4 linked regions of the Pelodiscus sinensis genome follow. The protein of the gene in region 1 purifies or fractionates together with the protein of each later gene. This does not show direct contact. Links are inferred from orthologs where the notes say so. Each region holds a gene or a part of one and is shown in the gene's direction. Other genes may lie near its edges. The genes, in order: MED19, POLR2D, CDK19 and RPAP2.

Evidence for each region.
Region 2: the proteins of MED19 (region 1) and POLR2D purify together in Homo sapiens (affinity purification with mass spectrometry; 4 studies listed by BioGRID and IntAct, with this or other methods). This does not show direct contact. The link is inferred for Pelodiscus sinensis from reciprocal best matches to the Homo sapiens genes MED19 and POLR2D.
Region 3: the proteins of MED19 (region 1) and CDK19 purify together in Homo sapiens (affinity purification with mass spectrometry; 7 studies listed by BioGRID and IntAct, counting the BioPlex papers as one, with this or other methods). This does not show direct contact. The link is inferred for Pelodiscus sinensis from reciprocal best matches to the Homo sapiens genes MED19 and CDK19.
Region 4: the proteins of MED19 (region 1) and RPAP2 purify together in Homo sapiens (affinity purification with mass spectrometry; 3 studies listed by BioGRID and IntAct, with this or other methods). This does not show direct contact. The link is inferred for Pelodiscus sinensis from reciprocal best matches to the Homo sapiens genes MED19 and RPAP2.

The regions. Positions count from the first base shown.
Region 1 is NC_134714.1:128,612,629-128,620,182, reverse strand, and holds MED19 (mediator of RNA polymerase II transcription subunit 19), read left to right. Parts: upstream 1-4,274; 5' UTR 4,275-4,367; coding exon 4,368-4,602; intron 4,603-5,557; coding exon 5,558-5,814; intron 5,815-6,028; coding exon 6,029-6,125; intron 6,126-6,277; coding exon 6,278-6,372; intron 6,373-7,209; coding exon 7,210-7,278; 3' UTR 7,279-7,425; downstream 7,426-7,554. Other genes in the region: TMX2 (thioredoxin-related transmembrane protein 2), read right to left, coding at 1,293-1,406, 2,222-2,282, 3,741-3,929. UniProt on the Homo sapiens protein: Component of the Mediator complex, a coactivator involved in the regulated transcription of nearly all RNA polymerase II-dependent genes.
Region 2 is NC_134720.1:5,691,977-5,700,032, reverse strand, and holds the start of POLR2D (DNA-directed RNA polymerase II subunit RPB4), read left to right. Parts: upstream 1-4,667; 5' UTR 4,668-4,876; coding exon 4,877-4,949; intron 4,950-6,454; coding exon 6,455-6,635; intron 6,636-7,358; coding exon 7,359-7,454; intron 7,455-7,915; coding exon 7,916-7,994; 3' UTR 7,995-8,056. UniProt on the Homo sapiens protein: Core component of RNA polymerase II (Pol II), a DNA-dependent RNA polymerase which synthesizes mRNA precursors and many functional non-coding RNAs using the four ribonucleoside triphosphates as substrates.
Region 3 is NC_134713.1:79,074,373-79,081,890, reverse strand, and holds the start of CDK19 (cyclin-dependent kinase 19), read left to right. Parts: upstream 1-4,435; 5' UTR 4,436-4,597; coding exon 4,598-4,738; intron 4,739-7,518.
Region 4 is NC_134719.1:34,345,973-34,353,330, forward strand, and holds the start of RPAP2 (putative RNA polymerase II subunit B1 CTD phosphatase RPAP2), read left to right. Parts: upstream 1-4,025; 5' UTR 4,026-4,109; coding exon 4,110-4,167; intron 4,168-4,194; exon of another isoform or gene 4,195-4,388; coding exon of another isoform or gene 4,389-4,392; intron 4,393-7,358. Other genes in the region: GLMN (glomulin), read right to left, coding at 723-788.

The DNA.
Region 1 (7,554 bases):
GCACGTTAGGGAAACGTGACCTACGGGAAGTTGTCAGAAGGTGGGCAAACAGCTGGTTGAAAGAGCGCACCAAGAGCGGTTGCCAATGGTTTGCGGCCCAAGGCCATAACTAGTGGGAACAGCATTCAATACCGTCACCAATGCCTTGGACACGGAGGAGAGCGTGTGCTTAGAAGATCTGGGGTTGAGGGGCTGCCCAGATGGTGGGAGGTTAGAACTTAAAATGAGTTTGACAGATTGGAGAACTGGTCTGACTTCAACAAGCTGAAAGCCAATGAAGACAAGCGCTAGAGGCAGGAAGGAATGAAATCGGATGCAGGGCTACCCAGTGGGGAACTGGCTAGTAGGCAGTGCTCCTAGAAAGGGTCCAGGGCTTCCTGTGGACCGCAATGGGAACAGGAGCCAACAAAGGGAAAAAGGCTAATGTGGCCCTGGGGTGCAAGTGGCTGGGGCCAGGGAATGAAGATGACAAGCAAAGAGAGGGGTGAAGCAAGAGAATGGTCTTAGCAGCAGCAGTTTGCACCGCCCAGTTGCAGAGGCAGGGGCAGTTACCCCGCTCTGGGGCAGGGGAGCATGCACTCGGACAGTGCAGCAGAAAGGAGCTTGAGCCCTTCCTCCCCGTGAAGTGATAGGGCCCGTACCAGCCTAAAAGGGTGCTGCATTTAAAAAGCCAATTGACGGTGGAGAGTCAGCACTCTGAGAGCCCCAGCCCTGAAATACATAAGGAAGCTCAAAGACTGCATCCCTAACCCAAGATGGGGCATGAGGAGTTCAGCCTGTCGTCTAGGGCAGGGGCTTTCAAACTCTGGGTCACAGCTTCTCAGGGCAAGCTGCTAGCTGGCTGAGACACATTTTTTTAAAAAATCTGCACCTCCCCAGGACAGTCCATCGCAGCTCCAGTTGGCTGGCCAATGGGAGCAGTGGGAAGCGGTGTGGACTGCAACCAATGGGAGCTGTGCGCAGGTACACAAAGCATCATGCAGCCAACTAGTGCCAGAGTTTGAAAGCCCCTGGTCTAGGGAGGAGTCATTTTGCTGGGGGAGGGGACGACTACTTAGCACCATGGGGCACGTGAGCAAAATCCAAGCAAGCACAATGGTGTTTCAGTAAGAACCCTTTCTCCCACCCTGCGTCTGGCTGGTCTAGTTGGATGGGCAGCTCCTCAGGGCAGGGACCTTCCCCACTCTGCATGGGCTCTATGGAGCAACTGACTGGGTTGGGGTGTAGCGAGCGTACAGCACAGACTTGATTCCCTTCGGAGCCAGCCACGTGGCCCCACAGCAGCACCTCACCTATGCACAGCGTCAGGTAGAGCAGCCCCATCCGCACATCCAGCCGGAAGAAGAGGATCGCATTGGCCACTTTACTGAACATGAAGATGTTCCCCACGTGCTGATCCACGGTGACTGGGGAGAGAGGAAGTGGGGGAGGTCAACCCCAGACTAACACCCTAGTTCAGGGCAAAGCTGAGGTGCACGTGGAATAGACCAGGGCATTGCACCTCACGACCCAGCACCTTCTCCTCTCAGTCCAACACAGACTGCCCCACTTCCTGTACCTGCCCCCCGCACTGACGCTGCCATCCCAAAGTCTCTTCCTAAGAACAGCAATATTGGGTCAGGCCAAGGGCCCATCTAGCCCAGTGTCCTGTCTTCTGACAGAGGCCAATGCCAGGTGCCCCAGCAGGAGAGAGCAAAACAAGGAATCATCAAGTGATCCCTGCCCTGTCACCAATTTCCTTTGACAAACAGAGGCTAGGGGCACCATCCCTGCCCATCCTGGCTAACAGACACTGATCGACCTAACCTCCATGAGTTTATCTAGGTTTTTTTTAACCCTTTTAAAGTCCTGGTCTTCACCACACCCTCTGGCAAGGAGTTCCATAAGTTGACTGTGCCTTGTGTGAAGAAAAACTTCCTTTTGTTTGTTTTACACCTGCTACCTCTTAATTTCATTTGGTGACCCCATGTTCATGTATTACAGGAAAACGTAAATAACTCATCATGCCAGCTTTGAGGTCCAGCTGCTCTAGGACCTCCCTGATCTTGCCACATGCCTCCTCAGCCAGACCCCCTCCAGCCCTCCTCCCTACGCCAGAGTCCTTCCTGGGGTCCGACACGGAGTCCAAGCGTGCCCACCAAAGCAGCCCTTGGAATGCCGCCCCCATCTCCGCCCCCGGAACAGTCCCGCGGAGGCATGGGGGCGGGGGAACAGGACTCACTGGATCTGCGGTTCTTCATCATCACGATGGCACTAAGGAACATGAGGATCTCCACCTCCCGCTGAAAGAAATGGGGGGGGGGGCAGAGTCAGCCCGGCTCAGATTGGGGCGCCCAGCCCAGCCAACGAAGCACCAGGGAGGGAGCCGGAGCCCCCAGAGTGGAAGCCCCACGTGGAACCAGCCAGGGGACTGGGACAGCTGGACATAGCATGGGGGGAGGCAGGGGGGCTCGGGACTCACCCAGTCGAAGTCGCGGGGGGGGGGGGGAGGCAGGGGGGCTCGGGACTCACCCAGTCGAAGTCGCGGGGGGGGGGAGGCAGGGGGGCTCGGGACTCACCCAGTCGAAGTCGCAGGGGGGGGGGGGAGGCAGGGGGGCTCGGGACTCACCCAGTCGAAGTCGCAGGGGGGGGGGGGGGAGGCAGGGGGGCTCGGGACTCACCCAGTCGAAGTCGCAGGGGGGGGAGGCAGGGGGGCTCGGGACTCACCCAGTCGAAGTCGCAGGGGGGGAGGCAGGGGGGGCTCGGGACTCACCCAGTCGAAGTCGCAGGGGGGGGGAGGCAGGGGGGCTCGGGACTCACCCAGTCGAAGTCGCAGGGGGGGAGGCAGGGGGGCTCGGGACTCACCCAGTCGAAGTCGCAGGGGGGGGGGAGGCAGGGGGGCTCGGGACTCACCCAGTCGAAGTCGCAGGGGGGGGGGAGGCAGGGGGGCTCGGGACTCACCCAGTCGAAGTCGCAGGGGGGGGGGAGGCAGGGGGGCTCGGGACTCACCCAGTCGAAGTCGCAGGGGGGGGGGAGGCAGGGGGGCTCGGGACTCACCCAGTCGAAGTCGCAGGGGGGGGGGAGGCAGGGGGGCTCGGGACTCACCCAGTCGAAGTCGCAGGGGGGGGGGAGGCAGGGGGGCTCGGGACTCACCCAGTCGAAGTCGCAGGGGGGGGAGGCAGGGGGGCTCGGGACTCACCCAGTCGAAGTCGCAGGGGGGGGGGCAGGGGGGCTCGGGACTCACCCAGTCGAAGTCGCGGGGGGGGGGAGGCAGGGGGGCTCGGGACTCACCCAGTCGAAGTCGCGGGGGGGGGGAGGGAGGCAGGGGGGCTCGGGACTCACCCAGTCGAAGTCGCAGGGGGGGGGAGGCAGGGGGGCTCGGGACTCACCCAGTCGAAGTCGCAGGGGGGGGGAGGCAGGGGGGCTCGGGACTCACCCAGTCGAAGTCGCAGGGGGGGGGAGGCAGGGGGGCTCGGGACTCACCCAGTCGAAGTCGCAGGGGGGGGGAGGCAGGGGGGCTCGGGACTCACCCAGTCGAAGTCGCAGGGGGGGAGGCAGGGGGGCTCGGGACTCACCCAGTCGAAGTCGCAGGGGGGGAGGCAGGGGGGCTCGGGACTCACCCAGTCGAAGTCGCAGGGGGGGGAGGCAGGGGGGCTCGGGACTCACCCAGTCGAAGTCGCAGGGGGGGGGGAGGCAGGGGGGCTCGGGACTCACCCAGTCGAAGTCGCAGGGGGGGGGAGGCAGGGGGGCTCGGGACTCACCCAGTCGAAGTCGCAGGGGTTCCCATCCTCGCGCTGGGTGGGCAGCCCCTGGCAGAGCGGCGGCACTTTGCGCACCAGCAGGAAGGCGGCGGAGAGCAGCGCCGAGAGCGGGTAATAGGGCCGCGCCAGCCAGCGGCACAGCCCAGGCACCGAGTAGAACAGCGCCAGCAGCGGGGCTAGCACCGCCATCTTCACCTCCACTGAGCAGCCCCGCACCGCCGGGACGACCGCGCACGCTCCACCGATCCCTATTGGCTAATCTTAATGCCAATCGTGATGAGGACAGGAACTGTAAGAAAGACCCATTCTCATTGGTTGATACCGCTGCCCCTCAAAATTAGACACATCCAATTGGCTAAATGGATTTCAAGGGGGCCTGCCTTTGTAGAGCGAGGGACTAATCAGATATCGGAATTTGGAATGACGTAAAGGCCAGACCTGATTGTCATCACAGTGCGCATGGGAGAAAACCAATCACGTCAGGCAGAGGAATGTAGCATTTTTGTCCAATCAGAGATAAACAGTGGGCGGAGTTCAAAATAGATGGGCCAATCACAGCCATAGATAGGACAGGCCGCCCTCCAATGAGGACAAGGCAGACTGTCAACTCCTCGAGGAGCCGAGCCAATGGGAGGAGAACGCGCGGGGCATGCTGGGACGATGGAGCCTTTCTCTGCTCTCTTCGGAGGGGCTGAGCCGCCGCCTCCTGCCGCGGCCGCCGCGCTGGGCTTCGGGCCGGGGAAGCCGGGCGGTCCCGGCGCCGGCCCGCCACCCACAGCCGCCGCGCCCCAGAGCGCAGAGGACGCCGCCCGCAAGGCCGCGGCTGCCAGCGGCCCCTTCTACCTAATGCGGGAACTCCCAGGTACCGAGTGCAGGGGGCGGGACTTTGCGGACTTTGGCCAATCGAGTTCAGGGGGCGGCCTTTAGGGGTCTGGCCAATCGGATTGCTCAGATTTCTGATTGGCCTCTCTCCCCGCCTATTAATGGCTGGGCCTGTTTTCTCCAGCCCAATAGGCGAAACAGACGGTCTGGTGGAGGCGGGGCTGAAGAGGTTTTTTGGATTGTCAGCCCTTTCCTCCAATGGGGAAGTCGGAAACCTATGGGGGAGGCAGTGTGTATGAATGACTGGATTGGCAGTTCTGGGAGCCAATCATGATGCAAGAAGATGTTTGGGGGGGGAATATGGGTGCTCGTAGCCAATGGAGACGGGGGGGGAGGGGAGAGAGAGCCTGCTCCCAACTGGGTCTGCATGAGCCATTTCCCAGACTCTTGTGCTGCCCCAGGAACAGTGCTGCCCCAGGGCGGTGGGGGGTGCCCAGGGGAGGGAGGCAGACGTCTGTGGGATGGGGGAGGCTGCTCCCACCCAAGGCCCTGGCTGCTCATGTAGGATCCCCAGGGGCTGGGCCACAGTCCAGCTCTGATGCGGTTAATGGGGCTAAATCCCGTTTCCTTCCCCTGTTGCCAGGCAGCCACGTGAGTCTCCAGCCCGTGGTGCGGCGCTGCCGTGTCCCAGCCGCTCTGGTTAGCGGAGGGGCTCTGCCCCTGCTCTTGAGCAGGCCGGGCTGAGGTCTGCTGCACCTGTAGCCCAGTGCACTGCAGATAGTAATGAAGTCTCCCCACTGTGCTGAGCCAGGCAAGGGCCAGCCCAAGCTTGCTGCTGGAGACAGCTTAAACTAATATGCTGAAGGCCAGAGGGGAAGCCAGTGGCAGAGCTGGGAGGGGAAGTCAGGAGCCCAGGCTCCCAGGCCTGTTCACAGAGTGCCCAACCACATGGCCTTGAGCAAATGTACAACCTGGCTCCCCTGGTCCCTGCTCAGGCAACATGGAATTGACGGGCAGCACGAACCTGATCACACACTACAACCTGGAACACTCCTACAACAAGTTCTGCGGCAAGAAGGTGAAGGAGAAGCTGAGCAACTTCCTGCCTGACCTGCCAGGAATGATCGATTTACCAGGTTCGCACGACAACAGCAGCCTGCGCTCCCTTATCGAGAAACCACCCATCTGCAGCAGCTCCTTTAACCCCATCACTGGCACCATGCTGACTGGCTTCCGCCTGCATACCGGCCCGGTGAGCTTCCTCCTAAGCTATAGGAAGTGGGAGGGTAGTTTTGGGGTGGGAGTCAGGACAGGGGGGACTCTGTTTGGGCTGGGTGAGATGAGGCAGAGGGGTCTGTGGAGAAAACAAAAAATCCTTGCTGATTAACCAAGGAACATGTAGTGGTGGGAGAATTTCTCCAAAGATCATCTCCCTCCCCATCTACCCTAATTTTTCTCTCTACCAGTTGCCAGAACAGTGTCGCTTGATGCACATCCAGCCACCCAAGAAGAAAAATAAGCACAAGCACAAGCAGAGCCGCACACAGGATCCTGTTCCCCCAGGTAAAAACTGCCTTCCACAAATCTATCAGTCCCCTCTCTGAGAGAGAGCAGCACCCACCAAATCTTTTCCAGACCCCAGTAAAATCATAGGTCAACCATCTGCCATCTCCAAGAGGGGCTCACTCAAAGGGAGATCTTGGCTTTCTTTGCAGAAACCCCTTCAGATTCCGACCACAAGAAGAAGAAGAAGAAAAAGGAGGAGGATCCTGAGAGGAAGAGGAAGAAGAAGGAGAAGAAAAAGAAGAAGGTAAGTGACTACAAGGGGGAAGAACTTGTGGTTCACTTCCCCATCAGCAGTCAGTGCTCCCAGTCCATGCTTACCTTACCGGGGAGGGAGAGGGCTTGAAATGTATCTGATCCTCTCCTGGTTACCTCCATGCTCTGGAGTCTCTGTCTTAATATAAAGGCCCGGGAGAGTAGGGGTTTGGATGCTGCTGGTCCCACCTAGAGTAGGCAGGCAGAAAAATAAGCTTTTTCCCACCCAAAAAGAGGGAGGGGGGAGGGAGAGAGAGAGAGAGAGACTCCTTCAAGAGGGTAGGGCCCTGTGTCTGTGTGTGACCCCTTCCTGGGGAGTGGAGAATGGGAGGGGTGTAGTTATTTAGAATTCAAGACTCAAAAGATTTTTGATTTAAGAAATGCTGGTGTGGTGGCTTTGGATGCTACAATTCAGTTGCCTCATGCCCCCTCTTGCATAGAACAGGCTCCCTGGTTTGTCTATATCTCCCAGGACATGCCACTTTCCCACTCCATGAGAGTCCCTGGCCATGGTGCACCGTGGGCGCTGGAGCCTGGCCCAGAGAGGAACGGAGACCCTAAGCATCTGTATTACAGCTCTGATGAGACACCAGGGCTGCATTTGCAGATTGAAATATCTGGGGGTTTGGTAGGAAACTGATGTGTCCTGTTGAAACCACATGCTGTTGGGGGGACGCCTGGGAATGCTCTTTGGGGCAGTGTAAAACAGGCCAAAAGTTCTGAGTCTTCATTCCCCCTGCTCCGATTGGTCCCCGGGCTGAGGAATCCTGTCCTGACTCAGTCCCTTATTGCCACTGTGAATCCTCATGGGGTTGTCTGTCTGACTCAGAACCGGCACAGCCCCGAGCACCCAGGCGTGGGCAGCTCTCAAGCGAGCAGCAGCAGCAGTCTGCGGTGAGGTGCCGACTCAGCATGGCACTGGGAGTGCTCTATGGAGATGCCCATCACCAACATGCGGGGGAGAGCGGCGCTGGAGGCAACATCAGGAACAACCCTGGAGCGCCTCGCGGGGGGCCCCGTGTGTACAGACAGCCAGGGCACCAGCCTGGTGGGAGCACAGACTCAGCTGGAGCAGGGGCACCCAGAGCCTGGGCTGGCTCATCCCCTTTCATACAAAATAACCCTTGTGGAAGCAGAGACTTTTTTTTTATTCACGTTTTAATTAAATGCCTGC
Region 2 (8,056 bases), on another chromosome or scaffold:
CTCAAACTTGGTGGGTCCTGCACTTTCAGGTGGATTTGCTTGCCTCAGGGGCTCAGAGCAGCCCTCAATTTAGGTACCACACCTAGGGCATCAGCTTGCTGTTCGTTGAGCTACTCCCATCACTGACCACCATAAGATATAGAGGGAAAACCAAACTCTACTGTTTCAGTGGACCCCCAAATGATACAAAGCTGGGTGAACCCCTTTCTTTTCCCCAGCCAGTCTTTTCCCTGAGTAGAAATGGGGAAAATGGGTGATTGGACTGAGCATTAACAAGGGGAAGACCAAGATAATGAGGAACAACCAGTCCAACAATACCACCATCACACAGGGAGGGGATGACCTGGAAGATGTGGAGCAATTCATCTACTTGAGGAGCATAAGTTGGTGAAAACAGTGGTAATACGCATGAGTGGATGAATACGTGTGGTCACAGCGCTCCTCCGCTCATTTATGTGTTTATTTTTGTGTTTTAACAAACTGCGGCAACTTGTGTTGCTGGTTATCTTGTGTTGCTAGATATCTAATGTCAACGTTGAAGACCCAGCACCAACAAAAGATTGATTTTACCACTACCACCTGAAATGCAACCCCACCTTTTCCATTATTTTTAATGGGAAAATTGACCCCGCATAGCACGTTTTCATTTAGCACGAACATTTGCAGAAATGCATCTATACAGGCAGTCCCCGGGTTACGTACAAGATAGGGACTGTAGGTTTGTTCTTAAGTTGAATCTGTATGTAAGTCGGAACTGGCGTCCAGATTCAGCTGCTGCTGAAACTGACCGCCAGTTCTGACTTACATACAGATTCAATTTAAGAACCCCAAGCTTCCCCAAGTCAGCTGCTGCTGAAACTGATCAGCACCTGATTCCAGGAAGCCTGGGGCAGAGCAACTCTGCCTCGGGCTTCCTGTAGTCAGCGCTGGTCAGCTTCAGCAGCGGCTGACTTGGGGACGCCTGGGGCAGAGCAGCTGGGGTGCTGCTGGGTTGCTCCAGTAGCACCGCTCCTTGGCGCTACTGGACCAACCCAGCAGCACCCCAGCTGCTCTGCCCCAGGCGTCCTGATTCAGCCACTGCTGAAACTGACCAGCAGCGGCTGAATCAGGACCTGGGGCAGAGCAGCTAGGGTGCTGCCGGGTTGGTCCAGTAGTGCCCAGAAGGCGCTGCAGGACCAAATGGCAGCCCCAGCTGCTCTGCTCCAGGGTCCAAAACAAAAGCCTGGTCTGCTGGGGGGGGGCACACTAGCCGCGCCCCCTCCTCTCCTCAGCAGACCAGGGATACAGGAGCAGAGCCGCAGCGGCAGCGGGGTGCCGCGCCTCTGAGGCTTTCCTCTGGCAAAGCCTCAGAGGCGCGGGACCCCCCCGCGGCTGCGGCTTCAGTCCCGGTGCCTGTGGTCTGCTGGGGACGGTCCCCAGCAGACCACAGGCAGGGGACTGAAGCGGCAGCAGCGGCGGTTCCCCGTGCTTCTGAGACTTTGCTTTGGCTTTGCTCCGGTGCCCCTGGTCTGCTGGAGACCGTCTCCAGCAGACCAGCGGCACCGGGCGGGTTCCCATGCTTCTGAGGCTTTGCCAGAGCAAAGCCTCAGAAGCGCGGGAACCCGCCGCTGCTGCCGCTTCAGTCGCGGTGCCTGTGGTCTGCTGAGGACGGTCCCCTGCAGACCACAGACAGGGGACTGAAGCGGCAGCAGCGGGCGGGTTCCCCCGCTTCTGAGGCTTTGCCAAAGCAAAGTCTCAGAAGCGCGGGGAACCGCAGCTGCTGCCGCTTCAGTCCCCTGCCTGTGGTCTGCTGGGGACCGTCCTCAGCAGACCACAGGCACCGCGACTGAAGCGGCAGCAGCGGCGGGTTCCCGCGCTTCTGAGGCTTTGCCAGAGCAAAGCCTCAGAAGCGTGGGAACCCGCCCGGTGCCGCTGGTCTGCTGGAGACGGTCTCCAGCAGACCAGGGGCACCGGAGCAGCTTACGAACGGGGATTTCTCGCCCCGGAGCTCGCAGGTAGCAATCCGCTACCTCGACCTCCGGGGCGAGAAAGCCCCGTTCGTAAGTGCGGATCCGACGTAAGTCGGATCCGCGTAAGTCGGAGACTGCCTGTAGTGTTAAATGAGGAATTATTCTACTAAAAAGTCTTCAAATCACAAGCTACATACATCCATAAACAGATGCCTGAGGTACATCCTTCACATCAAATGGCAAGACTTTGTCACAAATGAGGAGCTTTGGAACAGAGCAGGACAAGAACCACTTGATGTTCAAATGAAGAGAAGAAAGTGGGGATGGCTAGGCCACACTCTCAGAAAACCATCACCCTGCATAGTCAGTTAAACTCTCACATGGAACCCCCAAGGAAAATGCAAAAGAGGAAAACCTCAGACAACATGGAGAATATCTACTGAGATTGAAGGACAACTCGGGTACTCCTGGAGTCAGCTAGAAGTTTTGTCTCAAGACAGAATGAAGTTGGAGAGTTAATATCATACATGGAAATATACCTCTCTCAGAGCTGGAAGGGACCTTCACAGCAGGACCAAGTACCATCCCTGACAGATTTGCCCCAGATCCCTAAATGGCCCCATCAAGGATTGAACTCACAACCTTGGCCAATGCTCAAGCCACTAAGTTGTCCCTACATAGGTCATAGATAACCTATGCTCCACTTGGAGTGCAAGGGTTTAAGAAGAAGAGGACAAAACAATCTTTAATTCATGGAGACTGCAAGACAATTTGGAGTATTAGCAACCATAGGACAGGCAGCATCTTAGATCAACTTCCAGAGACTATCTCTGACAGATCCCTTATGCCCCCTTCCTCCAGCCTTGAACCCACCACCCTATGTTTCCACAGGCAAATGCGCTAGCCCCTCAGCCACAGCAGAATTCACTCCATTGCCTGCTTGCCGCTGGGTCCCTTATGTGTAAAGACATACACATGAGGCTGTAAGAGCATCTATCAATATAGCCAACAATACCTACACACTATGTCCAGCTCTGACATAACGGGAAATAGTCTGAAATAGTGGTAGATACCAAATGTTGCTACAACTGCATCATCTCAATAATCTTACTCTGGAAAAGACATATAGAAATGGGCAATAGATAGTTAGATAATCAACAAGGTCCTGAGCACTGGCCACACCCAAGGCCGGACTGAGGCATGGGCGAGCCGGGCAACTGCCCAGGGCGCCAACCGATGAGGGGCGCCTGATGGCAGCTGCAAGGGGCGTGTGGCGTCCCTTATAGCTGCCATCAGGCGCTGCGCGCCCGGCTCCCGTAGTGCTGGCCCCGCGGCGCTGGCCTGCAGCGCTCTTCCCCCCACGGCCGTGGGGCCCTGCATGGCCTGGAGCGCGTGCCAGCAGCGCTGGCCAGGCTGGGCTGGGCAGCGCATGTACTGTGCGCCCCGGGGGCAGGCCCCGGGCTGCACGCCAGTGGCCGTGGCCGGCCCACGAATGCACCGTGTGCCCTGTGGGCGGGCCCGTGCTCCCTTGATAGCCAGGCCTGTGCCCCACAGGCGGGCCCACGCATGCACCATGTGCCTGTGGCAGCACTGCATGCCTGGGGCACCAAAAGGGCTTGGGCCGGCCCTGGCCACACCTGCATATATCAGAATAACTGAACGCATTTCCTCTCATTGTGGTCAAAAGTAGGCTGTTAAGAGTCTGTGGCGGCTTTTACCAACCAAGAAAGATGGTGAGTCTTTTTTCCCAGCAGATGCATTGCAAGAGTGTTTCCTATGCAACAGTGTTGGGAAAAGTAGTGGGTAATTTGCTTTTTGGAGAGGTTCTTTGGTTCCTTCCCTTATTTCTGCCATACAGGATGTAAGTGATTGCAGAAGCAGCCGTTGGGTCAGGTGGATCTGTGTCTGAGTCACTTTATTTCTTGTATGGAGCACTGGTAGGGTGTGTCCATACAGCAAAATTATTTTGGAATAACAGCGAGCGTCTACACACAGTTCTATTATTTCAACATAATGGACGGCTTATTCCGATATCTGTAAACTCATTCTATGAAGAATAATGCCAATCCGCAATGGCTATTTCAGAATGAGGCGTGTGCAGATGCTCCACTTCTGCTATTTGGAAACGGCCCGTCCCCAGGGCCATGCTCCTCTTGGGGCTGCAAACCGAGAAGGCACGTCTACCCCTGCGTCAGGCTCATTCTGAGGCTACCCGGCAGCGCAGAGGTGGGCTACGTCTACACTGGCATGATTTTCCGGAAATGCTTTCAACGGAAAAGTTTTCCGTTAAAAGCATTTTTGGAAAAGCGCGTCTTGATTGGCAGGACGCTTTTCCGCAAAAAAGCCCCGATCGCCATTTTCGCGATCGGGGCTTTTTTTGCGGAAACCAAATCTCTGCTGTTTACACTGGCGCTTTGGCGCAAAAGTTTTTGGAAAAAGACTTTTGCCCGAACGGGAGCAGCATAGTATTGCCGCAAAAGCACTGACCAGCTACATGAGATCGTCCGTGCTTTTGCGGAAAGTCAAGCGGCCAGTGTAGACAGCTGGCAAGTTTTTCCGCCAAAAAGCAGCTGATTTTGCAGAAAAACTTGCCAGTCTAGACACAGCCGTGGTGTTTCGGGCCAGGCTATTCCCGACTAGCTGCGCGCGTGGAGGCGGCCCTAGGGGCAGTCAGGAGAAGGCTCTGGCTGAGGGAGGAGCCTGGTCCCTGGGGGAAAGCTCGCAGGGGGCTGGTCCCCACCGGGCTTTTCCCTGCCGCGCCCGACAGCTGAGGGAGCGGGCCTGGCGCTAGGCCGCAGCGCGCGCAGCAGACGCCCGCCCCCTGGCGGGAGCTGGGGAAGTCTGGGCCCGGCCGCCGCGCGGCGGGAGGAGCGCGAGGGCTCCCGGCAGCCCCCGCTCGCCAGGGGAAGCCGCTGCCGGCTGAGGCGATGGCGGCCGGAGGCGGCGAGGCGCGCGCCGCGGACGTGGAGGAGGACGCCTCGCAGCTCGTCTTCCCCAAAGGTGCGCGGGGCTCGATCCGCGGGGGACACGCCCGGGAGCTGGGGGCGGACGGGCGGGGAAGATTCCCCCTGCGGGGCGGGGAGGAAGCGTGGCCCGCCCCGGCCCCTGGTGCTGGCGTTGAACCGGGCCGCCCAGTCCCATTTCCCAGCTCTGGGTCGCTGCCAGTCCCCACAGGCAGGGGCGCTGCGAAGAGAACGAGCCGTGGCAGCCCGCGCTGCCCGAGCGCTAAGCCGCCCGGTTCCAGCCGGACTAGCCCCGCGCGGATCGTTCTTGAAATAGCGTCTCGCAAGGCTTTTCAGTGCGTCAAAGGGGCACGATTGCGGCTGAAGCGCCCCCTTGCCGGGAACCTCTACTAGGTGCTGTGCAAATACAGGACAAAAAGACAGTCCCTGTCGCAGGGTTGTATGTAAAACACTCCGAGCTGTATCAGGCTGTCACAGTTCAGTGATCTCTGGGATTGATCTGAAGAACTCTAGTTTTTCTGATCGATGATCCTTGGCACACAGGTATTGCTGCCCGTGAGACTATTTTACAATTATTGACTGGAAACCAACTATTGAAGCATTGAAAGCGGGATTACCAATTGCCAGTAAATTCTGTTGCAAATATTCTGAATGACTCTGAAAAATAGTGTACATATCAATATAATTCAAAATAGTAATATTTAAATAGCTATATTTGTTCCTTCAAGGTGTCCCCAAAATGGGAAAAATGGGCTTATACTCTGCTATGATGTAAATGGAAACCAGAAATATGTGCAGTCTAGTTGCTTTTTTGCACCAGAAATTCATACCCCATCTAGTCTCATAAACACACTTGAAGTCAAACAAATTAATGAAATGGTTAAAAAGCAAGAGCTGAGAAAGAAGTTTATCTACGAGAGGGAAAATGATCTATAGTCAGACTGTTTCAAACTTGTTTTTTGTTATTGCCTGTTTAATTTCAACAACTAAATTAACATTTCTGATAATGAAAGCCTTTGTTAAATATTCAGGATCCTTTAATTAAGGTGCTAGCAGTAAACATCCCTCAAAACTGCAAGAAGCTCTCTAGCAAAACCACAGAAAACCACTCTTGCCATTCCTGATTTAACTAAGTTAAAAAAGAAGTAGTGTAAAAAAAAAAAAAGCCTTTGCAGTACTATCCTTTTAATATTTGTCTTTTATTTCAGACCTTTGTGTCTACTGAGTAATAATTCATTACAAAAATATGATTACCTCAAAAGATTGGGCTGGCAATTTAAATATGTATGATCAAAAAGTTAAAAATACCTGGAGTGCAACTCAGTATTGTAAACCTATTTGTCTGGCCTTGGAGGAATTATATTCTCATTAGTAATGGCTTCCAAGTTATGGAATACAGGATTTTCTGTCAAAGCTATGTCTCTGGCTCATTTTCCTTTCTCTGCAGCTATATCTGAGCATGAAACAAAGCATGTAAGAATTGGCTTCTTTGTTGGTGTCCTTATCTCCCCCTCACACTGATATTCACTTGCTCGTGTACAGAATTTGAAACTGCTGAGACGCTTCTAAATTCAGAAGTGCACATGCTTCTTGAGCATCGTAAACAACAGAACGAGAGTGCTGAGGATGAGCAGGAGCTCTCTGAAGTCTTCATGAAAACTCTGAACTACACGGCTCGCTTTAGCCGCTTCAAAAACCGAGAGACCATTGCCAGTGTCCGTAGGTGAGTGAGAGCGCCAAGGAAAGATGAGTTATTGTAGTGTATGTTCTATATTATGAAGTTGAAACATGTTAATTATTTCCAGGAACAGGGTTGTTCTAGAGATCTTAGTTGTATATTTCTGGGGGAGTGAGGGACTTAGTAAGATTCCATTAGAGCAGTGGTTCTCAAACACCTTTGCATTGGTGATCCCTTTCACACAGCAAGCTTCTGAGTGCTATTCCCCTTATACATTAAAACACATTTTAAAAATATATTTAATGCTACTATAAATGCGGGAGGCAAAACATGATTTTGGGGCTGGAGGCTGACAGCTCACACAATTCCATGTAAAAAACTTGTGACTTTTGAAGAATCATGACGTCCAGGTTGAGAGCACTTGTATTAGACTGGGTAATAAGAGGCCCCAGGCTGAGCCCCCAGAGCTCTTTTGGTATGATATGATAATATATGATAATAGGTTGTGGTAGATAAAAGGACTTTTCTAGCTTTTCTTTTTTGGAGGCTTGCTGGGGTTATCGTGTATGACTTTTTTTTCTTACTAGCAATAAGAGTTATATTCATAATAAAAATTACAACTTATATTGCTCTTTTTCTCATCTCCATTCCTTATTCACAGTTCTGTCAGGAGAATGTCAGCAGTTTAGTTTCTTTCACATTCTTTTCCTTTCTTCTTTTTTATTTATTCTGTTTTATCTCTACCCTTACCATTTTCTTTTTCTGTAGTTTGTTGCTCCAGAAAAAGCTCCATAAATTTGAATTGGCATGTTTGGCTAATCTGTGTCCCGAGACAGCTGAGGAGGCCAAGGCTTTGATTCCCAGGTGAGAATTTATGACTTTGGTTTTATGATTTATGGGTTCCAAGATGCAGGAATAAGTGGAAAACTGAGCTGATCTATTGTTTCCCATTTGTAGTCAGCATTTCATAGCCACTGTGGGATGGCCTACAAGGTACAATTCTGCATGATGTCAGTCAGATATCTTTGTTTACATCTGTTCCTGAGTATGGCACCCTTCTAATTTCATATCCTGAAACTGATCAGTAAAAAAGTGGTGGGAGGAAGGTATTAACTGATTAATTGGATTTGAGGCACCTGACAATTATAGCATGGGGCTTTATTGTTATCTGTGTATTATAACTCAACAGGAAATGGGAGATTTTTTGATAAATGGTGCAATGCCAGATGGTACCAAATATGTGTAGAAACATGAGGAATTCTGGATATTAAAGTGAAATCACAGGGAAGAGGCTTGTTTCGATCATTATTGTTCTTATCTTGCAGCCTAGAGGGCCGGTTTGAAGATGAAGAGCTACAACAGATTCTTGATGATATTCAAACCAAACGAAGCTTTCAGTATTAGGGCTAATTACAAGCCCTTATTATGAAAAGGAAAATCCGAGAATTTCTGATGTCTCTGTGCAT
Region 3 (7,518 bases), on another chromosome or scaffold:
ATCGACTAGTCAATAGATTTTCCATCCACTTGTCAAATAGTTGATAAGCAGGGGAACTGCAGCGGGACCTGAGAGCTAACCCTGCTGCAGCTCTGCCTTTTAAATGTATTAATAGCTTGTTGGCTCTTAATATATTTAAAAGGCTAAAGCGCAGCAGGAGGGACTCAGCATGAGCCAGGACAACTAACAAGCTCTTAAAACATTTAAAAAGCAGAGGTGTAGTATCTGGGACTGGATGCAAGCTGGGAATAAGCTGATTTCCAGCTTGCGCCCAGTCCCCACTACCTCCCTGCGGAGACGGAGCTGGGGGAACTGGCTTTTAAGCCGGCTCCTTCGAACACTGGCTCTTGTCCCCTCCCCCCTTGCGGACTCTGATAGAGGCAGCAAGGGGAGGAGGGTAAGCGACTAGTTGAGGAATTAGTTGACTATCCTATAAGCTTTTGCTTATTGCAGAGGTGGAGAACCTTTTTTGGGTTGGGGGCTGTTGACTCACAGAAAAATCAGTCGGGGGCTGCACACAAATTAGGAGCAAAATAAAAAAACAAAAAAACACCCCAAGAATAAACTCCCACTGACATTGAGGAGATAAAGCTTCAGAGGTTAGTCTGTAACAGGAAAAACTTAAAAAATAACAATTAGTCTAGTAGCATCTCAAAGACTAAATAGTTACAAGAGGCTGATAAGAACCATTAGTTAGTACTTGGAAAGGAAGATGACCAACACCAGATTCTACACAGACATCAAGAACCATTAGCACCTTCATTGGTCGGTTGGTTGATAATGTGTGAACCATGATTCACACATTATCATAAGAAATAAACTTGTGAATGAAGTTAAGCTCCAATCCTTCTCTGTGTATTTGGCTTGTGGAATTGGTCTGAAACAAAACAGCGACTTGGAGATCCATTAATGAGTGTCCAGGAAGATTAAAGTGTTCTCCAACAGGTTTTTGTGTGTTGCCTTTTCGGATATCTGATTTGTGTCCATTAATTCTTTCCCATAGAGCAGTGGTCTCCAACCTTTTTACACCCAAGATCACTTTTCAAATGACAGAACAAGCCAAGAGCTACCGCCCCGCTCCTTCCTCGAAGCCCTGCCCCTTCCTCTCTATTCTCTCCATCACTTGCTATCCCCAACCCTTATACTGCTGCTTTTCCCCCAATCCTTCTGTAGGAAGAGGTTTCCCCAACATTTGGCCTGTCAAGACTGGACCAAATGTCAGTAAAACCCCTTCTTTTGGAAGCCCTCTTATTCCTCGTGGAAAGAGGAATATAGGGGTTACTGAAAGAGCATGTTTGCTCTTCCACTAAAAAAAGCGGAAGAACAAATGCATCCCTGGACGCAGAAGAGTTTTTCTGGGATATCTTCAGAATCCTGAAAAACTCCTGCAGTCTAGCCTTACCCTCACTGGGTTGAGGCAGGATGTATAGGCTCTGGGGTGGGAATGAGGGATTTGGATGTGGGAAGGGGTGAGAAGTGCAAGCTCTGAAAGGAAATCTGGATATAGGAGGAGGTGGAGAAGGGGACGCTGGGTTGGGGAGGGGGCTTCAGGCCGGGCAATGTTGGGGTCAGATGTAGAGTTAGGGTACTAAGCAAGCCACAAGCTTGTGGATATAAAGGTGCAGGAATTTGGGTTAGGGTATGTGAGGGGCTCAGGGCAGGGATTTCCAGTGTATGATAGGTTCAGATCAAAGGTCTGGGGGAAAGGGGTATGCAGGAGTGTCATGATGTTGTGGGCAGATGGGGGCTTGGCCCCAACTGTGGGTTTGTTGGCCAGGCTTCATTTTTAAATAAAATACTATGGCAAACAAAAAGTTTCTGCATTCTCTTTATTTATGAGAAGGGCAGGGAACCTGTTTTGAGTCAGGGGTCACTGACCCACAGAAAAGTCAGTAGGGTCCACACAAGTGGGATGCAAAATAAAAACTCCTCCAAAACTCCCACAAGCCTCACTAATGTGGCCCCAACTGTGCTGGTGGGAGCAGGGGGACATGGTATTGGGGAAGGGTGCAAGGGGGTATCGGGACAGGGTGCTGGCTAGGGTGCCAATGGGTGCTGGGGCAAGGGCCAGTGGGTTCTGGGGCAAGGGCCTGGGGCAGAGGACAGGGTGTCAGTGGAGGCAAGGGACAGGGTGCTGGGGTGGGGACAGGATGCCAGTGGGAGCAGGGTGTTGGCTGGGGCAGGGATTCCCCCCCCCCCAAGAGGAGAGAAGCTCCGGCAAGAGCCTCTTCCTGGGACGACTCCTCTGCAAAGGAGGAAAGCCCTAGCGCATTTCCCCCAGGGACTTCTCCCCCCTCCCTGGCGCGTGCTTCTCCCCGGGACTCCTACCTCCTCCCCCGCAGAGGAGAGGAGCCCCAGTGTGCACTGCCCCTCGGACTCCTCCCCTCTCCCTTACAGAGGAGGGGAGCCCCAGCACATGCTTCCCCCTGGGACTCCTACCTTTTCCCCGGCGTGCGCTTCCCCCTGGGACTCCTCCCCCATCCCCGGTGCAAGCTTGCCCTCAGGACTCCTACCTCCTCCCGGGCAGAGGGGAGCCCCGGTGCGCGCCTCCCCTCTCTTCTCTTCCCCCCCCCCCCGGAAGCCCCAGCGCGCATCTTCCTCTGGGACTCCTACTTCCTCCCGGTGCGCCACAGACCTGGAGGAGAGGAGTAGGCAGTGTACTTCCGGAAACCCCGGAAGTGGCACGCAGTTGCTGGACTTCCCTCCACCCCACAGGAAGTTGGCACTACCTCCGTTTTCGGAGGTAGGTAGTGGGGCTTCTTGGGGGCGAGGAGAATTGGAGGGGCCCCGAACGCCTCGCAATCACTGGTCGAGCCCTTCCGATCAACCCGTTGATTGTGATCGATGGGTTGGTGACCATGGCTGTACAGACTGTCCAGTCTGTCCGATAGATATTGCAGTGGGGGCATTGCTGGCATTTGACGGCATAAATCACATTAGGGGATGTGCAGTTAAATGAGTCTCTGGTTTGGTGGCTGATATGGATACTCCCCAAATTCTCCTCAAACAGCAGAGTCCCCCCCACGGGGTTCACCACCCCTAGCTCATCAGACAGTTGACTAGTAGCTTACATCCCTAATGAGGCTATATACCACTAATCTTATGAGAACAGCTTGAGGCACGATGGTAGCAAATATCAATTTCAAAACAGAAATGGGAATTGAAGGTATGTTTACCTGATGGAGCCTTTATTGATATAGAGCACAACCCTGTAGTGTAGTATAGCTACAGCCTATAGCAACAGATTTGTTGTAGTAACACAACCTCCCTGAATGACTCTGGCTATTTCCCTAGACACCACTTCTGTCAACCTAGAGTTGGAGCCTACACTGTTTTTTTTTAGCATAGCTATGTCTTTCTGGAGTGTAGTTTTTTCTCACCCCTAACTGGCATAGCTACTTCAAGGCAATTTAAGTACACACTAAGCCTAGGACAGAAGTGTGTGAGTGGCCCTTTTCATGATAGTCATGCTTAAGTCCCATGACTGGCTGTTTTCTCTTGCAGTGGAATAGCCTCCTGGCAATGTTGTCATGGCGATGATGACTCAGGAATGAGCAGGGTTAGTGCCTGGCCGTCCGGCATTGCTCTGTGCAAGCAGTTCTGGGCCAGCCTTTGATTGTGCATCACCCCGAAGGCAGGGATGTGCGCTAGCGCGGTGCCTCGCAGGGCTCAGCGGGCACCTCCGATCTTTCGCCCTGGCGCTGGTAGGGAAGGAAGCCGAAGCGCCAGCCCCTTGGGCCGCACCGGGGCGCGCAGGCGGGGCCGCTGCCTCCTCCTCTGACCCCTCGGGGACAGCAGGTGGGGCCCCGCCCCGGTTCCACTTGTAGGAGGGTGTCGCCGCCGCCAGGCCACGCCAGCCCGCGGGGCCCTATTGCATCTGCTGGAAACTGGGCGGCAGCATCTAACCCGCTCCGCGCTGCCCCGGCCACTCCGATCAGAGACGGCTCCGCCCCAAAAGCGCGTGCCAGGGCGGCTGATTGACGAGCACGGCAGCCACTCACGCCTAAGCCCGTAGCCCAACGACTAAATGCGCGAGATGAGCCGTAACCAATCGGGATCGCCAAAGAGGGGGGAAGGGCGGGGCCACGCTTGAGTGGCAGCTCACAACGTAAACAAGTACCAGCGCCACAATCCTTCCCCTCCCCCTAGCTGAAGGGCTGAGGCTCAGGTACTGAGCACGGTCTCGCTGCGAACCAACCTCCCTCCCCCGTGTGGTTGCGCCTCCCACCTCAGTCGGGCAAAGTGAAGAGTCAGCAACTTCCCAGCGTCCGCTGAAGCGCTTAGCCGCTCAAGGGAGCGCAGGCGCAGGCAGGGAGTGGGTATTGCGGTGCATGCTGGGAAATGTAGTTCTCCCGCCGCTGCCTGCCTATGGAGCCTTTGGATCCGCGGCGCCCGCTGCACTATCAGTCCCAGAATGCCCCGCGCCACGGTGCAAGCCGCTCCAGTTGAAGCGGGTGGCGGCGGAGCGGACCAAAAAAAAAAAAAAAACCCCACAACAAAATCCAAGAAAACAGCCCCCCCAGCCCCACTCGCGGCAATGGTGCAGGGAGGGGGCTCCCGGCGCCGGGGGCGCTGATCCCGCCGCGCCCCCTCCCCCATGGGTGAGCGACATGGACTACGAGTTCAAATCCAAGCTGGCGGCCGAGCGCGAGCGGGTGGAGGATCTGTTCGAGTACGAGGGCTGCAAAGTGGGGAGAGGCACCTACGGGCACGTCTACAAAGCGCGGCGCAAGGACGGGTAAGAGGGGGCGGCGCTGGCACGGGGCGGGGGCTCCTGGCTTGGTCCCCCCCCCCCCCCCGCCCCTGAGTGTCCCTCCGCCCTCCTGGGGCCGCGGCGCCGGGACTCCCTGCAGGCGTCCCCAGTTCAGCGACGCTGATGCCGCAAGCTCCTGGGCACCCTCTCGACCCCGCAGCTGCGGGAGGGTGCGGTGACTGGGGGGGACTAGTTGTCTGTGGCCCCTGGAGACGGCAGTGACAGTGGGGCTGGGCGGTGCTAGCTGCCGCGCCCCCTGCCAGTGGGAATGCCTAGAAATCCCCACACTGGGAAGGGGAGCGGAGGGGACGGGGTGGAGCGGGACTTGGTGGTGGGGGTAGGGGAGCTGGCGGTGGTGTGTGTCCGTCCGTTCCGCCCCCCCCCCGGGAGGGAGAGAGCCAGAGCATGAAGGTGGCAGCGAGAAATGAGAGGGGCCACCCTGAGGTGAAGGTGGGAGGGTAGCAGGGAGACTGGGGCGAGCCCTGGTGCTGTGTGTGTATGTAGGGGGAGCAGTAGGAAAGAGGTGGGAAAAAGCCTGGAGGTTGGGGTAGGGACTTGAGGATGGACTGTGGTAGCCTTGGTGGTAAAGAGTCTGTGCATCCCTCAGTGTCCCTTTCTCCCAGTCCCTGCAAAAGATGGGCTATAACAATTTTTCTTCTCCATGACTTTCCATCCGTTGACTTACTGTTTCACTTGAAGCCAGGAGGGATGGAGCAACAAAGGAAGAAAAAGGCAAAGAAACTAACTTTTGGAAAAAGTTTTTTGTAAACATTATTGTACTAAGGTAGAAAATCCAGCTTTCAAAAACAAAAAGATAACTGGATAAGAGGAAGTGGTGATGCAGGTGCAGCTCCACTGACTGGTGCATCCAGGCTTAATATAGATCATACATTTACTGAATAAGCACCTATGTTCAGGGCTCCCAACAGGCCCTGAGTGTTTTCGCAAAAAACAAACAAAAAACAAATCTAACCAACAACTTAGTTCTATACAGATATGCACACACAAATAAAGAGTATTTTTGGTATATTGCTGCTAGCCTAGTGTGTTCTGTGTGGGCTGAGTGAAGCTTTTAAGTGATGCTTCAAATATCGTAGCTTCATTTAAATTAATGTTTGTATCCCCAACCCCAGAAATGTTAATCCTGTGAAATTTGTTAGCTGGTCAGTGATGTGGTGGTGCTTAGTGTTCCTTATGAATTTTGCGATACACTTTATAGCCTAATTAAGTAGAAACTGAATAAGGTGGTGCTAAAAAGTCCTTGTTGTCCTAGTGAGGTTAATTCAGTATACCTACTAAATGTCTGGTTTTTAAGTGTGAGCATTGTTTGCTACTTATGAAGCACTGGCATCTCCAGAGTGAATCAAAATTATTTTTAAAATCCAAAAGAGTGGCCTGCTGTGTCTGTTTGTACTTTTCTAGTCTACGCCATGTAGAACTTTTCTGTAGCTTTTAATGAGTCTGGTAGTTGTTCGATGTGTATGACTCCATACAAGTAGCTAGTTAGGCCCAGAATGAGATGTACTGCTCTTCTCTCTGTGATGCTGGAAAGGTGGGATGGTAGTTCCCTGGCTAGTTATTACTATTCCTTGCTTGTCTCATTTAATTGTATGGCAATTCTGTAAGGAAAACACCTGATTTATCTCAGGTGTTGGTCTGCATGTATGCTGGCCATATTTATGCACACTACAATTACAGCGGTGAAACTTACGTCACTTGGGTTGGGTTTTTTAAATACCTTGGAACAGAGTGACATAAACTTTGCTGCCACAAGTAGTAGTGTAGACATGATCTAAGTTAGTAGGGTATAATACTGAGGCTAAGCAAGGGACAGGCAAAATATGGCCCGTGGGCCAGATCTGGCCTGCCAAACATTTGGATCCAGCTTGTTGTAGCCCAGTGGGACTTTCAGGTAGGCTCCTTGGATGCTGCAGCCCATACGCTGCTCACAGTGGCCAGCATGTGTGTGTCTGTGCAGTGTGCCCCTTGGAGGGGATGTTGATCTCTGTACTCTGCCCCCTGCACCATCTTTGCAGCTGGAAACTGGCCAATGGGAGCTGAAAGGGCAGTGCTTGCAGGTGCATACACCACATAGAGGCCCAATGATTCCCAAGGGGCATGCTGTGCAGAGATGCACATTAAGGCTGCAGCAGCCAGGGAGCTAGCCCAAGCGTCCTTCCGGGCCACTGGCCAGGGGCTGCCTATGGTAAATTCTCCTGGCCAGAGCTGGCTTAAAAGCTGGTTTCCCCCAGCATCAGCTCTGCAGTGCCACCTACCCCTCAGAGGCAGCAGTGCAGAGGTGGGGCAGGGAAGGCTGCTGCAAAGGAGGCCTCTGTCCATGGTGGCCCAGGCTCATTGTGGACAAAGGTTGCTCTATGCGAGGTGGACCAGCCTTTGTCCATGAGGAGCTCGGACCCTTCCCCCCCCCCGCAGACAGGGGCTGCACCAGTCTCTATCTGTGGCCAGCCAGAGCCACCACAGACACAGGCTGTTCCATGGTAGCCTCCCTTCTCCCCCCTCGCTCCTGCTGCAGCAGCCTCTGTATCAGAGGTAGCAGTGCAGGGCAATAGGCAGCCAGTCTGTGCGGGGAGTTAGTTTTTGTACAGGCTCCCCTTGCGAACTGGCTCCCAACTGCCTCAGCCCACGCTGCTGCCCCTGGTGACTAACAAATAGTCTTGTAACCAATAAGATTTCATGCGGTTACATGGCTATTCAATTACACTATATCTAACATCTCTATACCAGACCTCGCATCCCCTCCATTA
Region 4 (7,358 bases), on another chromosome or scaffold:
GGTGCAATCGGGGTGCAGACAACTTGATGCAGGGCTCTGGGTGAAGAGAGAATGGGACACTGCAAGGAAGTCCAGGTGAAGGTAGTTAGGGATCAGTGAGAGTCTGGGGGTACAGGGTTTGATAAGGTTGAGAGGGTCAGGGTGTAGCTGGTTGGAGCTCAATGAGGTCCAAGTGTGAGGGGCTGCTCATGCAGGGGATGGAAATCAGCAGGGTGGAAGTTGGGGGGTCTTGGTAGAGAGGTTCTGGGTGCAAGGCAGGGGTTCAATTAGGGGTTCCAGGCGCATGGATGGGAAGACTGATCACTGAACAGGAAGCTGCTCCCCCGTCTATCCAACCCCATGCATCCAGATCTCTCCCCCAAACACACACACTCAAAACCCGCACTGAGCCTTACCACCCCACACCTAGAATTCCCACTCAGACAGGCCCCTTCCCACCAGCAGTGCAGAGCTACCTGCAGCTTAGAGTAGTTTCTGGGGTTGATTTGACACAGACCCAACTGGTCTGGGCAGGGGAAACTCTGTCTTCATCCTCTTTCTTCCCTCCCAGCCCACCCAGCTGAGACAAACATCCCTGGGAAGCCAGGGCATCCCCAGGCACCCCTTTCCCCAGAGATTTACCTCTCCCCAGCTGCTCAAACAGATATGTCTGTGCACACAAATTTAGGCAATGCCAGTTTCTCTAACAGTTAGTATATTTTTACAGAAAGGAAGTTACTTACACATCGTTGTATAACGGCTTGAAGCTCCTCAGTTGCCATTGTATCCTGATTTTGTTCTTCTGACATTGAAAAGCTCTATCATAATTTAGAGTATAGTAATGAGTCACAACTATATTATATTCAATATTATACTGGATTTAAAATGGAGATTAAAAAATTATCACATTTTAGCAAGTCCCAAGTGGTAAAACATCTTACAGAAATTAAGGAGGCTGCATAAAAGAACATGAGACAAAACAGAAGAGAAAAGAGTTAAAAAATGCAGGGTATTTTTTCATTCCATCTCCTGTGCAGGCACTGCTATTGCTTGTTTATAGGAGACAGGAAAGAGCATGAAAACTATATCTAAAGAGGGGAACTGTCCAACTACAGTAAACTTCTGATAATCTGGGAAGCCCGGGGCAGAGCAGCTGGGGTGCTCTTCCCCGGAGTCAGCCGCTGGTCAGTTTCAGCAGCGGCTGACTTGGAGAAGTCTGGGGCAGAGCAGCTGGGGTGCTGCCGGGATGGTCCGGCAGCACCAAGGAGCAGCGCTACGGGACCAACCCAGCACCCCAGCTGCTCTGCCCCGAGCGTCCCCAAGTACTGAAACATCCAAATCTGAATTGAGATAACTAAAAGAATGTGAAAACTAATTTTCTTTTTATTATACTGAAATCCTACTTACATTTTATTTCACTGTTTTCCACACTTGACAGTGAATCCACACTTGACAGTTTCACTTTGCTGTTCTCATTGCATTAGCACAGGGATGGGCAATAATTTTTGCCAAGGGGTCACAATGGCAATGGCACAATGGTTGGGTATTGGTAACCAGAGCTCATAGCTCCAGCCCCTGAAGAAGAGCCACAACTGGGCACTATTTAAATAGGATCCTGCTGTCCGAGCCACCACCTGAAAATTCGGTGGCATGGACAGCAAGATATAAATAGAAAACTGTCAGACACTGTCTGTGGGCCAGATCAAAGTTTTAGCAGGGCAGAGTCTGCCCCAGGTGGCATCTTGCCCATCCCTGCACTAAGATGTACTTTTGAGTTTGAGTTAGCACCACTGCAAGAGCAATGGCGACATTCCCCCAGAATCAGTGTTCCCTCTAAGCTGCGAGGCAGCACAGTTTCACAGGTGAATAGTCAGCCCTGCCCAGTGAATCAGCTCCACATGGAGCCCTGAGCTTTTGACTGGGCGGGGCTGATTAATCACCAGTTAAGATATGAGGCTGCACAGTTTAGAAGAAACACTGCCCAGAACTACTTTAATTTGTTTGAAAACAAATGTACAGTGTTACCTATTTGGGGCCCAAAGTAACTTGGTATCATCAATAAGGCTCAAATCATATACTGAGCTCCGTAGTGTACTGGTTCTGAGCTCATTGCACGTATGTGGCCCACATGATTAAGTCAGTGATATATTTCCCTGACTTCAGTGGGAACTGTACCGGTCCTTAAGTCATTATGAAAGAAAATTATATATTAGCTATAATTGGCAAACACCATTCATTAAGAATGTTTTTTTCCACCCATTTTGATTTCTTCTTATAGGATCTGAACACCAATGAAGAATGCATCAAAGGGAGAATGTATTCTAAATGCATGGAAGCACCTAGCATCCTCCATACACTTTTGTCAAACACTTGCCATTAGCCATACTTGGGTGAAAACAGGCTGTAGGGGTGGGTAGAGCCCTGGGTGGATATAAAATCTGTATCTGCATCTCTATCAGCACAAATAAACCTGTGACTATAAAGCAGACATCCACAGATTTACAAGGCTCTATGTATGCCCTGAGGCTACGTCTACACTACGTTTTTTGTGCAAAAACCAGCAGTGTCCACACCTCAAGCACGTTTTTACACAAGAAAATCTACAGTCAATTGACAGAACAGATGACTTTTTGCGGTGCAGATATACCTCCTAAGAGGAATATCTCCTTTTTGCGCAAAAAGGCATGTGTGGATATTCCGCAGGGGTTTCTTGCACAAAAAGAGCCAATCCGAAAAAGCACAGGTGTTCTGATGGCCATTCTGTGAATGGCCATCAGTGCTTTCTTGCGCAAGAGTGTCCATGCCGTGTAGATGCTCTCTTGCCCAAAAGCTCATTGCAAAAGCAGTGCATTTTGAGGTGTGGACGCGCTCTTGCGCAAGTTTTTGCACGGGAACTCTTCCTCAAAAAACTTCTTGTGCAAAAACCCTGGGCTGTGTCTACACTGCACCCCTTTTCCAGAAAAGGGATGCAGATGAGACAAGTCGGAATTGCAAATGAAGCGGGGGATTTAAATATCCCTCGCTTCGTTTGTATAAACATGGCTGCCGCTTTTTTCCGGCTCTGGGCTTTGCCGGAGAAAAGCACCAGTCTAGATGGGATCTTTCGGAACATAAAGCCTTTTCCGAAAGGTCCCTTATTCCTCTTAAAATCAGGAATAAGGGACCTTTCAGAAAAGGCTTTATTTTCCAAAAGATCCAGTCTAGACTGGCGCTTTTCTCCAGCAAAGCCCGGAGCCGGAAAAAAGCTGCAGCCATGTTTATACAAACTAAGCGGGGCATATTTAAATCCCCCACTTCATTTGCAATTCCGACTTGTCTCATCTGCATCCCTTTTCCGGAAAAGGGGTGCAGTGTAGACACAGCCCTGCAGTATAGACCTAGTCTTTCAAGGGTGTATAAGGGCTGAGGATAGCAAGTGATAGAGAGAACAGAGAGGGCAGGGCTTCAAGGGGGGAGGGTGTCTTGGGGAAGGGATGGGGTAGATCTTGGCTTGTCCTGGCATTTAAAAAGTGATCTTGGGCGTAAAAAGGTTGGAAACCACTGATGTCTGGGATCCTCCCAGTCGAGGGTTAGCACAGTCGATGGGATTAGTACTGATGCGCTGAGTCACGTCGGAGGCTGCTCTACACCCCGGGGCCTACAGAACACACCTCCTGTCTCTCAAAGCAAACCAATAAGCAGGTCGCGGAGAGGCTGTAGCGGCTTCGCACGGAAGGAGGGGAGAAGAAGAGGGAGACCGGGCGCGTGGCTCACAGCAAAGCCCGCAGCCTGAGGCTGTAAATACGGCTGCTGCGAGCTCCACGCCTCCAACAAGGGGGGCTGGTCTCAGCCGGCGCCCGGGACCTTGTCTGAGGAGCCCCGCGTGGGGCGCAGCGGGCCAGCCTCGTTACCCCGCCCCCAAGAGAACGCGCCGGGGGAGGACTATCCCCGTCGCAGCCGCCCCACAAGGGGGCTCAGAGCCTCCCTCCTTGGACGCGGGGGCGAGGACTGCGCGGCGCCCGCCTCCTACCTAGCGTGCGTCCGCACAGGGCCGCTCCGGATCGAGCCCCGCGTGCCCCTCTCAGGCTCCGCCTCCCCCCCCCTCGCGCCGCGGCGGGTGAGAGGTCAGGCGGGGGGCGGGGCGGGCGGCGATGGCGGCGGAACTTCGGCGCGTCGGTGCGAAGGCGAGAGGCAGCCGGAGACGCGCGGGTAGGATCAGTACAATCCCCCTCCCCCCCCCCCCGAACATACCCCCCGTTTCCCGGCCTAGTGGGCTCGTCCTCCCCACCCCAACGCAGGGGACTGACCCAATCGTCCCAGCCGGGGAGGGGGACGGGAGTAGTGCTGGGCAGGTAGCCGTGTTGTGCGCCCCTCCGCCCCCCGTTTGGAGCATTGCTGGGGTACCCGGAGGGGGAAGCAGAGCCGGCACCATGCGTAAGCGGAATGAGCAGCGGGCCCATTCCTAGGCCGGGGTATTCCAGCTTAGGGCAGGGCGCTGGTGTGCAAGACGGGGTTCAGCTGCAAGCTTGGGAGGGGGCTCTGGGCTGGGACAGTGTTGGGGTGCTGGCTCTGAGAGGGGTCAGGGTGTTGTAGGTGCTGGCTCTGGGAGCGGGCTCAGAGCTGGGGCGGATTCAGGGTACAGGAGGCGTATGGGTTCTGGCTCTGGGAGAGGGGGCAGGGCTGGAGCCAGGTGCTTGGGGTACAGGAGATGGTTGGAGGGTGCAGGAGGAGAGATGGGGTGCTGGCCCTGGGAGGGAGCTCAGGGCTGAGGCTTGGAGTGCAGGAGGTGTTTGGGATCTGAGGCACTTGGAAGAGAGGAAAGTGATTAGGAATAGTCATCAAGGGTTCACAAAGGGCAAGTCGTACCTGACCAATCTGATCAGCTTCTATGATGAGGTAACTGGCTCGGTGGACATGGGAAAGTCAGTGGATGTGATATTCCTTGACTTTAGCAAGGCTTTTGATACGGTCGCCCACAATATTCTTGCCAGCAAGTTAAGAGAATGTGGATTGGACAAATGGACAGTAAGATGCATAGAAAGATGGCTAGAAGGCCGGGCCCAGCGGGTAGTGATCAACGGCTAGATGTCAGGATGGCAGTCGGTTTCTAGCGGAGTGGCCCAAAGTTCAGTTCTAGGACCGATTTTGTTCAATATCTTTATTAATGACCTGGATGAAGGGATGGATTGCACCCTCAGCAAGTTTGTGGATGACACTAAGCTAGGGGGAGAGGTAGATACGCTTGAGGGCAGAGATAGGGTCCAGAGTTACTTAGACAAATTGAAGGATTGGGCCACAAGAAATCTGATGAGGTTCAACAAGGACAAGTGCAGAGTCCTGCACTTGGGACGGAAGAATCCCAAGCATAGTTACAAGCTGGGGACCAGCCCGTTAAGTAGTAGTTCTGCAGAAAAGGACCTGGGGGTTACAGTGGATGAGAAGCTAGATATGAGTCAACAGTGTGCCCTTGTAGCCAAGAAGGCTATTGGCATATTAGATTGCATTAAGAGGAACATTGCCAGCAGATCCAGAGATGTCATTATTCCCCTTTATTCGGCTTTGGTGAGGCCACATCTGGAGTATTGTGTCCAGTTCTGGGGCCACCACACTACAAAAAGGATGTGGACGCACTGGAGAGGGTCCAGCGGAGGGCAACCAAAATGATTAGGGGGCTGGAGCATATGACTTAAGAGGAGAGGCTGAGGGAGTTGGATCTGTTTAGTCTGCAGAAGCGAAGAGTGAGGGGGGATTTGATAGCAGCCTTCAACTTCCTGAAGGGAGGTTCCAAAGAGGATGGAGAGAGGCTGTTCTCAGTAGTGACAGATGGCAGAACAAGGAGCAATGGTCTCAAGTTGTGGTGGGAGAAGTCCAGGTTGGATATTAGGAAAAACTATTTCACTAGGAGGGTAGTGAAGCCCTGGAATGGGTTACCTAGGGAAGTAGTGGAGTCTCCATCCCTAGAGGTGTTTAAGTCTCGGCTTGACAAAGCCCTGGCTGGGTTGATTTAGTTGGAATTGGTCCTTCCTAGAGCAGGGGGCTGGACTTGATGACCTTCTGAGGTCTCTTCCAGCTCTATGGTTCTGTGATTCAGGAGATATGGGATGCTGTCTCTGGAAGGAGGGTCAGGTTGGGGCAGAGGATTTGGGATGTGCAGGAAGAGTTTGGGGGTTGGCATGTGGCCTGCCACCAGGCAGCACTTGTCATTGTCCCAAGCAGCAGCACAGTGAGGCTAAGGCAGGCTCCCTGCTTGTCCTGGGTCCACAGCACTCCTGGGAGGGGTCAAAGTGCCCCTGTCGCCCAGAGGTGGGGGCCAATGTTCACACTAATTTTTTCTGTGTGTGAAATAAATGTTATGATGTACCCTGAGGAATGTGAGTTTGTGAACCACCAGTAGAAACATGCTACCATCTGTGGGCACTCTGCTAATCAGTGGAGCAGCATTTGAATCTCCTGGGCAACTGCCCAAGCACTCAGATTACAGGGAACACTTTTGGGGGTGGGTAGCACGTGGCTCTGTGTGCTGTCCCTCTGCTAATGCAATAGTTCCCTTTTTCTGGCCAGTTGAAGCAGTGCATGCAGGCGGCAGGAGTAGCATGCTGAGACTCTTGCCTCCCTATCCCTCCTCACACACAGGACCATGCTTGCCAGTTTTGGGAACAGGCTGGTGACGGGGTAAACAGGAAGCTTGCTGATCGTAATTAATTGGGAGACTCCCCAGGATTCACCAGTTGATTGCAATCGATCGGTTGGTGACCACCACTACACAGATTTCCAGGGAGAGCCCAGCCTTTCTCAATCTGAGGGTTGTGATCCAAAAATGGATGGATGGGTGGGGGGCAAAGTAATTGACTGGGGGATTTTGGTATTGCCACCCTTTACTTCACTGCTGCCTTCAGAGTTGAGTGGCTGGAGAGCTGTGGCTGCTGGTCGGACACCCATCCCCGAAGGCAGTGCCCCACCAGCAGTAGCACAGAATAGGGTACCCCTACTCCTGTGCTGCACCCTTCTGATCTGGGCAGCCAGAAAATGGTGGCTGCTGACCAAGGGCCTAGCTCTGAATGCAACAGTGCAAACCATGCCAAGATATCCTTACTTCTCTGTTGAAGCTGGAGGCAGCACTATCTTGATGGTGGAGCTCCTGGCCAGCAGCCACTGCTTTCCCGCAGCCGAGTTCTGAAGACAGTATTGGAGGAAGTGTTATTTCACCTGCTCAGAGCAGATTTCAGCCAACAGAGGAGCAGGAAAAACAGTGCCTTGTAAACATTAGCATTTCCACGCTTGCTATCACCATTGGCGCTACAAGGGTGCAAAACATTGGGGGGGGGGAACTCTAGGAAAAACAGTTGATACAAAATCTTCAAGAAGAAATGACACACCAGCATCCCCAATTGAGAGTGTCT